Drosophila melanogaster: one gene and its partner. The protein of the gene in region 1 interacts with the protein of each later gene in a pairwise test. Each region holds a gene or a part of one and is shown in the gene's direction. Other genes may lie near its edges.

Region 1 (5,120 bases):
GATTCGTGGAAAAGTGAAAACGGGAACGAGGAAGGATGCTCGACGGCAGAAAAAGAAGGACATGAAGCAATTTCCGCTTTCAATCACGTTTAGTGCACCGGAAATGTGTGCAGAAATATGTTTCTTCTCCCATTTTCCTATGCAAAATTTTCCAACCGGAATGAGGTTAGATTGTAAATTACATTTGGGTGCGGTTCAATCTATTTTCACGGAAAAGAGGGGCAATCGAGCACCATTGAGTGTCAAGGGAAACTCAATTAATTGCACATTATGTGCGAGGAGTATGCGTTCGATTGATTTTTTGTCACACTTTCTGTCTCTTTTTCTTACACACGCTGCGTGTTTCACATTACACACTTTATCAGTGCACTGAAAGCTATTTCGTGGTTTAAGAAAAATAAAATTACCTAAAATATATAAGCAAAATATATGGCTATAAAGAAATTATGAGAGATGAATAATAATATAAATATATTTAAAAACTTTTTAATTCTTATAAATAAGTTTTTTTTATTTAAAAAATAATAGTACCTTAACAGAGAGTAAGCAGTGTTCAAACAACTAGGTATGGTTCGCTTCACCGTTTCATTTAATTAAAAAAGTATGTACACATATCAATGAAACTGTCAATCAGGAAAAGTGGACATACTAATTAAAAAGTTTATGCGATTTTTCTGTGTGCCTGGTTTCACTGGCTACTAGAACACACACGTAAATCAATATATGGCTCGATTGGCTCGTTTGCACACGAATCCCCCTTCCATGGTGGAGAAATGAATAAAGAGACACAAGGGCCTGCGGAGAAAGCGGATGAAATGTGGCTGTCCTGGTCAGTAAAGTGGCTGGAAACAGAAGCAACAGGCAACACACATATTACCTGCAAATTACGTCAACTGTTGCCGGGTCAGGTTAAAAGAGGTCGGACTTCAAGTTAAAATGGTCGCTTCTTCAATGGAAAAAATAAGCAGCTACAAAAGTTCACCGTAAAAAATAATAGAAGGGGAATATTTGTATCTTTTCTCTTAATTTAGTGGTTAATTTGTAATTGTATATTATATTTATTCTTTGATCAGTCTATGTTTCTCGAAATAATTGACTTTTATAATAGAGTGAACTGCAACTGCAGTAGATTTATTTTCAGTGAAAAGCTCGACATGAGCCACGTGACCCCTGCACGGCAATGTGAAATGTCAGAGCACTTTTAAGAGTTCATTTAGACGGTAGCAAATTTTATACCGAAGCGTTTAATGCGGTGGATGTGCATGGGAAAATACTGTGTCAGAAAAAACGGTAAACACAAGCAGGCAAATGTCAACAGGTTGTTTCTGTTGCATCAGTAATTGAGGATGAAAACGTAATGGTTTTTCGGGGAAAGGAGTTCCCTGGACATAGTATTCCAGTGCGTTCAACGGTGGCATAACTTATTTATAACTCATTTGGGGTAAGCTTGACCCCATTCAGTTTGTTAAATATACACAAGGACATGAAGGACCCTAAATGGGAATTTACATCCCTACCTAAAATTGCTCTATAATATAAAGAGCTTAAATAAAAAATGTAATAAATATTAACAAGCAAGTTGCTGTTTAGATACGTAAAAATATTTAAACAAAATTATGCAATTTATGAAACTAAATGTACATTCAAGGACACAAATTGATGTAAGCTAATTGTTTACTTTGGCATGACAACACTGGCACAAAACGAAAGCTTTCACACTACAGGTGTCTTTGCGAGCGAGCGACAAGTGTGGTGAATTTTGCGAACATCCTTGAGCACGCAGTCACCGTTGCAAGCGCAAGCGAAGGCAGATTGTGCGAGGACTCGGTTCGAAATCAAATCAAATTGATAACAGAGAGAAAGAGAAAGCAAGCACACGAGAGAGCGAAAAAGCACGAAGCCAGGCGAACTTTTCCTTTTCCTTCAGCAGGAGCCACGGATAACGGGACAGTTCGTCGCGGAGTTTCGAGTGTGTCGGTTGTGCCATAGCGGAATAACGGTACAACAAAGCCAGTGTGTGTGTGAGTGTGTACGATTGTGTGGGTGCCTCAGCCTCAGTGTTTTGTTGTCAAAAAGAAACTATAAGACGATGACTGCTTAAAATTTAATATTATTATTAAAAAATCATCCAAAATATGCTTGGCATAAATAAAAACCAAAGCATAGATACTATGCCAATTAAACAAACGCAGCTTCGTATAATTAATATATATTAAATTCCAAAACCTATCAACGTTATTCAATTTAGTGACTGCAATTAAATAAAACACAAGAATGTGTTTTGATATCAACTCTGTTGAATAATCAAGCAGAGCAGACTGCGCAGTTTGGCGCCGCGTGGGCGTTTGCCCAAAAATACAAGAAGTGAAACGGAGAAAAGGGCAGAAAAAACCTAAGAAATACATAAATCTCTCCTAGACAGAAAACGGTGTGCCTGCCTCTGATTTTTACTTACAAGTTGCTTTTGCAGTCTTATGCAAACGCAAGATCTTTGCACTCCTATTTATCATAATGTATCCACTTAAGTAATTCCAATGTGTTGGAACTCTTGCTTTAAAAGAATAACTACTTCGAATATATTTAGGTATTGTTCACAAGAAATATATAAATTTCTCAAAAGAACTCCTTTACTCTGTGCCTATTTAGAAACATATAATTAGATAGGAAGTACATTCATATCAAAGTAAAGTGAAAAATACTGTAGCAATTATGTGATGAGAATTAAAACATTCGACTCATTGAAAGTAATTAATTATTTCAAGCAGTTTTGCCCTTTCAGTTAAACTTTGGATCATTAAAAAGTAAAGATCCTAGGCTATAGGGCTAACTTTTTCAGCCATTTTGTTTCGTATTTTGCAGTTCTGACCGCTGTAATGTCCTTGCAAGTTGCACCTTTTCAAAACGTTGGTGTGCTAAGAGCATTCAGCCTTCTGCCTGCCAAAGGAGAAACGACAACTTTCCACTGCTTTCTCCAGCACTTTGCTGTCTTCTTCTTGGCGTCTCGCTTTCCCTTGGTCATGAAAATCAAAGTCCCCCGTGTGCCCAATGTCAATGTATTGGCCCCATCTGTGCCTATTGCTTCGGTGTGAGCGCCCACACACACACACACAAACACACGCACACGCATAGGCGTATATGTATGTGTGTATTATACGGGTGTTTGTTGTGGGGGCGTGAAAAGTTGGTCTTCCTGTTTGAGTTGCGTATTTGCGCGCCATTTCAGCATTCCGCTTTTTATTTACTACAAATTGCTTTGCATTTTGGACCAGTTTTGCTTTTGTGTAATTTTGCTTTCCTCTTTTTATTTTTTGTACTTTTGTGTTTAATGCGCTGTTGGCAATTTGTTGGATATAAAAATTACAACGCACCCGCCCCTCCACCAACGTCTGAGCAATGAAATATTGTAATTAACTTTTCTGCCAACGGGCAAACCGATGGAAATTTCTGCCTTCATGAGGCGGCAACAGGTTATACAGCAGCATCAATTAATTTTTTTAATAACCGACAGTTCACGCCTAATAAATATTCATGAATATATCAGCTCAGCTGTAGGGAATTTACGAAAGACTAGCCAACAAATGTACTCCTTCCGCGATTTGCTTTTGGCAAATTTTAAGAGTATTTAAAAGTTTCTTTTTTTTTCCGTCCCATCAGAAAGTTTGTGCAGCAACTTTCCTCCGTTGTCCTTGTGGGCTGAAGAAAACTTTTAGTTCCATTAATTATTAACGATAATGTGTGCTCAGCTCCACGGATGCTAAGTTCAAAATTGCTAGAATACTGGCATAAAGTTGGCAAATAATTGCAAGTCACCGAAGGAAAGGAAGGAATTTTAATCAAAATATTTGTAATATTTGACATTGATATTTTATGCTAAAGTGCGTCCTCCAATTTACAAGTACGCAAATATTTAGACATGAGTTATGACTCTAAATTGAAATTTGAATTCTCTAAAATGGTACTTGTGAGTCAGAACTGTTCAACATTAACACTATATAAAGTATAAGCACTCGAGAATCTTGAATAGCAATCACAAATATTCGTTACACTTCTTAAGTATTAAACCAATAAAAAACTCGACACAAATAACACATAAACTCGATGAGCAAACATTGCATAACTTGAAATAAAGCCAATTTCAACAATAACGAGCCAAAGCGACATTCACCAAATATTCAAAAGCTGGCAAAAGCCAATAGCATTTCTAAAAATGTATTTAAATATTTGTGCACACACAGAAGAAAGCAGCTACAAACAAAATTGAATAAAACCAAACAATAAAAGAAACGTTAAAGTGGAGGGAGATGATGAAGTGAAAATAACAGGCTCAGTGATAACTGATACAAAAGGAAAAACGCTTGAAAATCAGACGTCTTTGATTTTGCAGAAGGCAATAGAAAGTGCGAGTCATGATTTGATTTTCAGGAAAAAGGAGGTAAGTAAATGTTTAGTTATAAGAAAAGTGATGAGTAAGCGATACTCTAGGCAATGCATAAACTAAGCAGAAATATATTCGTTATACTTTTATATTGAAGCTGCGCGTTATTCCTTTGCAATATTTTCCCATGTTCGCTGAGTAAAACGCAACTAACCCAATTTTCATAATTCATTCAACAACATGAAGCAGCTCCCCAAAGTACGGCATAGATATTCCATTTCATCAGATGTATTAGCAAAATGAGACCCGAAACCACCACTCTAGAGATTTAAATTTAGCCCAGACCTTCGAGAACCTGTGCGTGTATGTAGTATATACATTTTATGTGAAGCATATACAAAATTATTGTACATAATTGAATCCCTTGAATTATTTACTCGTTGAGGGTTTTGGGGTTGTCGACGGAGGCAGCATTTAACCGCCATTTGACTCTTAAAGTCCGCAAAGTGTAATAAAATTAAATGGCTTTAAGGCTCAAACGCGTCTGGCGACCCTGGAAAGTATGCTACGAATTCTGTCCAGAAATATTGATGTATCTTAGCGGTTTGAGTGTATGCGTTTGGCTGTTCGTTCACCTTTTTTTTCTGTGTCTCCTGAGACGAAAATGAAAAGTGTACCCATGTCTGTTCAGTAAATATCCAGGACTCTGAACCAGAGTAAGGCATTGAACCATCAATTCCAGCCT
Region 2 (4,501 bases), on another chromosome or scaffold:
GGTAGAGTAGCAAATCCAGTTTGCATCTGATGAAATGGCAGCAGACTGTATAAAGTTGTGCTCTTTGACATTTAGTTGGAGAAGTTTCTGGGGTGGCAGCTCCAGAAGTTGTTCCTCCGTGTGGCCGACGGGCAGTGCCCAGGGTTTCTTCTTGTCCTCGCCTTGCGGGGCCACAGAACCCAAGCGCCACAGGTGCACGCTGTTGGGATATCGCAAAAGCAAAAGCTTTTTACTGATTGCCATGGAAGCTACGGAACCTTTCAGAAAGGGAGCATGCTGCGACAAATGTGCCTGCATTCGTTCACTGGACGTAATGGTCAATATGCCATCCCTGCCTCCCGAATAAATTTGATCGTCGATAACCAACAGGGATTTCACATAGTGTTTGTGGGCATCGCGCTGTAGGAATTTAATCCAACGCTCGCTGGTGGACTCTTCCCGCTTTATCTTGGTTTTGCTGAAAATCCGGATGAGCGGCGGCTGCATTCCACTGCAAACTAATCGATCCTCCTTATTATTCACAGCCAGGGCAAATACGTTTTTATCCAGAACTCGTGTGGAATCTATCTGTGTCGCGTTATCCGCATCCCAAACGGTAACAAATCCCGCTGAATCACCGGCAATAATCGTATTATCGGATAGCACCTGCAGGGACCAAACTATTACGTTCTTTTCGGATAGGGTCATCGTGTGCAGAGTGGTTCCCTTGAGGACGTTCCAAATGCGAACAAATCCCTCAGTGCCGGTCACCAGTTTAGTTCCAGTCTTATCAAACTTGATGCAGAGAACGCGACCTTTTTGCTTGTTAAATAGGGATTTATAGGTGATTTCGTCATTCTCAATACTCAGGATGTTGATGTGCCCTTCCTCTGAGCCAATGGCAATATCCGTTTCCGCGGGATTCACATCGATACTCCAGAGAGCATTGCCAGTGGGCGAGTGCTCATATCGTTGTTTTAGCTTAATCACATCCCACTCGATCAGTTTACCACTTAAATCCACGGAAAATAAGCGGTTTCCCGCCCAGGCTATAGATTCCACATGAGAATCGGTGGGCAGGTGGATTACACGATCCAAATACGGGGCGTGCTCCAGGTTCCATAGCTCAATGACGGGTGTTGCACTGCAAAGAGTGTACTTATTAGTTTACTGCACAGTAATTATTAGGTTTTTTTTAATTTTCAATAATTTACCGACTCAGAGCGAGGCACTTGCTCGATTTACTATACGCCAAGCTGACAATTTCACGCGGCTTTATAGTGTAGAAGCGCACATTATGCACCTGATGCTTGCCCCTTTGCTGGGGTTCCTTCTTCGCATTATTCGTCATTTTATTTAGTTAATACAATTATTTAGTTAAGAAGAAATAAGGAACAACAACTGAAACAAAATTCCTCTGGAGATGCACGTGTGTGCCTAAGAGTTGCCAGATAGTCTATTTTGTGAGGTAAACAAAGCTGAAGAGTTGCCATCTGACTAAAAATATACCAGATTAACCCTTAGGCAGCCGCTCTATGGCCGCTCAAAAACTTATTTTCAAAATTAAAAATTCTTTTATAAATGTAATTATTAACTATGTCATTATTAAAGATAAATTCTTAGAGATGCATATAAAAAAATTTAATTAGTTTTTATTTCGAATTCATTTTAGTTTTAAGGTTATAGTAGAATGAAAATCTTGAGTTCAATAATCTTTTAAAAACATAATCCAAACAACTACAAAATTAATAAATAAACTTGTTCAATTTACGCATTGGACTAAAGAGTATCTCCTTAAGTATTTTGGATATTTTCCACATCTGGTCAGTCTAAAGGGGGTGGTTTTTGCAAATGTTTTCTTTTGTTGTTGCTGTGGTCCGAAGGAAAATAATTTGGAACTGAAAATTAAACCAATCAACTAATTAAATTAAGTAAAGAAGCTATTAAAATAACGGAAAGCATGATATAGCAAATAAGGGGCACGTAAATTACACTTGGAAGTACAAATTAAACCTGCTGCAAGGATGTCGCCAAATTCTATGTGGATTTTCGGCCTCATAAGTGGTAAATAAATTACGAACAATAGAAAAAATCCAAGCTGATGCTAAATGATTTACAAAACCAACAGCTCTGCTTCTGACTCTGGGTTCGACGGGGCTATCCTCGAAGGTTTTGGAGCTCAGTGACCGGTTCATCGATGTGCGACACGAGGGCCAATGGTTGGTCATGTTCTATGCCCCGTGGTGCGGCTACTGCAAGAAAACGGAGCCCATTTTTGCTCTGGTGGCTCAGGCTTTGCATGCCACCAACGTTCGAGTGGGTCGCCTAGATTGTACCAAGTATCCGGCGGCGGCGAAGGAGTTCAAGGTGAGAATATACCATATTTGGTCCAAGTTCCTTATAAGCATCCCCAAATTCTTACAGGTTCGTGGCTATCCCACCATTATGTTCATCAAGGGCAACATGGAGTTCACCTACAACGGAGACCGCGGTCGCGATGAGCTGGTGGATTATGCCTTAAGGATGTCTGGGCCTCCAGTTCAGCTGGTCACGCGAACGGAGAGTGTGGACATGCTAAAGGGATCCCATACGATATTTTTCATTTTCGTAGGCCAACAGGAGGGCGTGGTGTGGGATACATACTATGCTGCAGCTGAAGGTTACCAAGAGCATGGATTTTTCTATGCCACCAGCGAGGATATCGCTGCCCAACACTTTGACTTTGAGAAACTGCCAGCGGTGATTGTCTACAAAGAAGAGCAGCACCACTTCTATCCGCATGGGCATTTGGCGCACGAAATGGACCCCAATGAAGTGAACGAAACCGTTTTCCAATGGGTGAACGTGGAGAGGTTCACACTCTTCCCAAAGGTCACTCGGTTCAACATCCACCAGCTGCTCAAGACAAACAAGTACTTGGTTTTGGCTGTGGTACAGGAGGATAAGCTCAATCAGATAGCCACGCATGAGCTGGAGTTTCGGGACATGGTGGAGGGCGTGATAAGAAAGCATAGGGCGCGATATCATGACAAATTCCAATTTGGATGGGTAAGTGATTCTATCATAGTTTTATCGATTTGGAGCTAATCAATATTTCCATTTCAGATTGGCGAGCCATCAATAGCACATTCCATTATCTTGGATCAACTGCCCACGCCTCACTTGATAGCGATTAATTCGAGCACCCAACACCACTTCATACCCGAAGATGATCCAATGCAAATGACTCCACAGGCACTGCACCTTTTCCTAGAATCCATCCGCAACGAAAGTGCCATTGCCTATGGAGGAGATACGTACTTTGTACGTTTGAATCGGGCACTGTTCGAAGTGCGAAGAGCATTAAGGGATATGTGGCTGGGAAATCCCGTGCTGACCACTGTCATCTTCGGCCTGCCATTGGGATTCTTATCGCTCATCATGTACTCTATTTTCTGCGGCGATTGCTTGGTCACAGAAGAAGATCCCGATGAAGATCACGAGAAGAAGGAGTAAAGGGATAACTTAAAAATGAATCTAGTGAAAGCTTTTGATTGCGAGTGAATGTTAGAGAAAGTAAATAAGATGATCTCATAGTGCATTTCCGAGCAAGATCATAAAAAGCTAGGAACATACAAGAATATGAAATGATAAATCCCTATAAGAAGTCGTAGAAGACCCCACCCCTCCTCTAGACCACTTTTCTACCGCATATAAATGTAAGCCAAATCTAGTCCTATGTCAGTGTATGTCATTGCCGCTTGGCACGAACTTCCAATACGCTTTAAGATTCGCCATCTGACACAAAGAAGTCCATACGTATTTGGGCATCTAGTTTTGTTTCTCGTTTTAAGTTAGTAAAAGTAATAAACATGATTTAGCGGATGTGAGGAGCGGGCATAACTTAAATTAGATGTTGGGCGGAATTTCGGACGAATCAGCAGCCGTAATCCTCGTCGTCGTCGCTATCGATGGCCGCCCGCCGCCGATCGTATTTCACGGAGGACTTGCTCTGCGGCATCTGAGCATTGACGCTTTCGAGGATGCTGACGAACTGGGCGTCATCAAGTTTTCCACGCACCTGACCCATCTGGGCCATGCGGATGACCATGTTCTCGAACATTTGCGCCTTCTCCGGCTTGCTGACTTTGAGGGTATTAACTAAATGATATTTTATAAGTTATTAGCTAGAGATATTCAAGGTCTAGATCCACATACGTCGTGCCCTGGCCTGCTGGTCCAGAACTTGGGATAATATCGAGTGCTTCATTTCCTCCTGGGCGCGCATCTGCTCCTGCTGGGCTTGTTGCTTTTCCGCATCATTGCCGCCGCCCTAAAAATAGGAAAAAAGGAGTTAAGGTCATTGAAGGATTGCCCTTTAAAGAAACAGGTGTCCCAGTCGAGAAGGATGACTCATAGGGAAGGTGTCTATAAGAACTAACAAAGCATACCATTGCTAATGTATTCTTAACATTTTTATTATATTTTATATAGTCTAATTTGCTTTCATTCCAAGTTATGACTATTTTTGGAATTCTCTAGA

What was found.
Region 2: the proteins of CG31760 (region 1) and Tmx3 interact in a two-hybrid assay, tested with the Drosophila melanogaster proteins (one large-scale study listed by BioGRID).

The regions. Positions count from the first base shown.
Region 1 is NT_033779.5:12,140,835-12,145,954, forward strand, and holds the start of CG31760 (uncharacterized protein), read left to right. Parts: upstream 1-1,945; 5' UTR 1,946-1,999; exon of another isoform or gene 2,000-2,021; intron 2,022-4,214; exon of another isoform or gene 4,215-4,235; 5' UTR 4,236-4,432; intron 4,433-5,120.
Region 2 is NT_037436.4:16,227,298-16,231,798, forward strand, and holds Tmx3 (Thioredoxin-related transmembrane protein 3), read left to right. Parts: upstream 1-1,802; 5' UTR 1,803-2,003; coding exon 2,004-2,043; intron 2,044-2,107; coding exon 2,108-2,346; intron 2,347-2,403; coding exon 2,404-3,027; intron 3,028-3,084; coding exon 3,085-3,474; 3' UTR 3,475-3,842; downstream 3,843-4,501. Other genes in the region: l(3)72Dn (lethal (3) 72Dn), read right to left, coding at 1-1,123, 1,194-1,330; PDCD-5 (programmed cell death 5), read right to left, coding at 3,896-4,119, 4,177-4,291.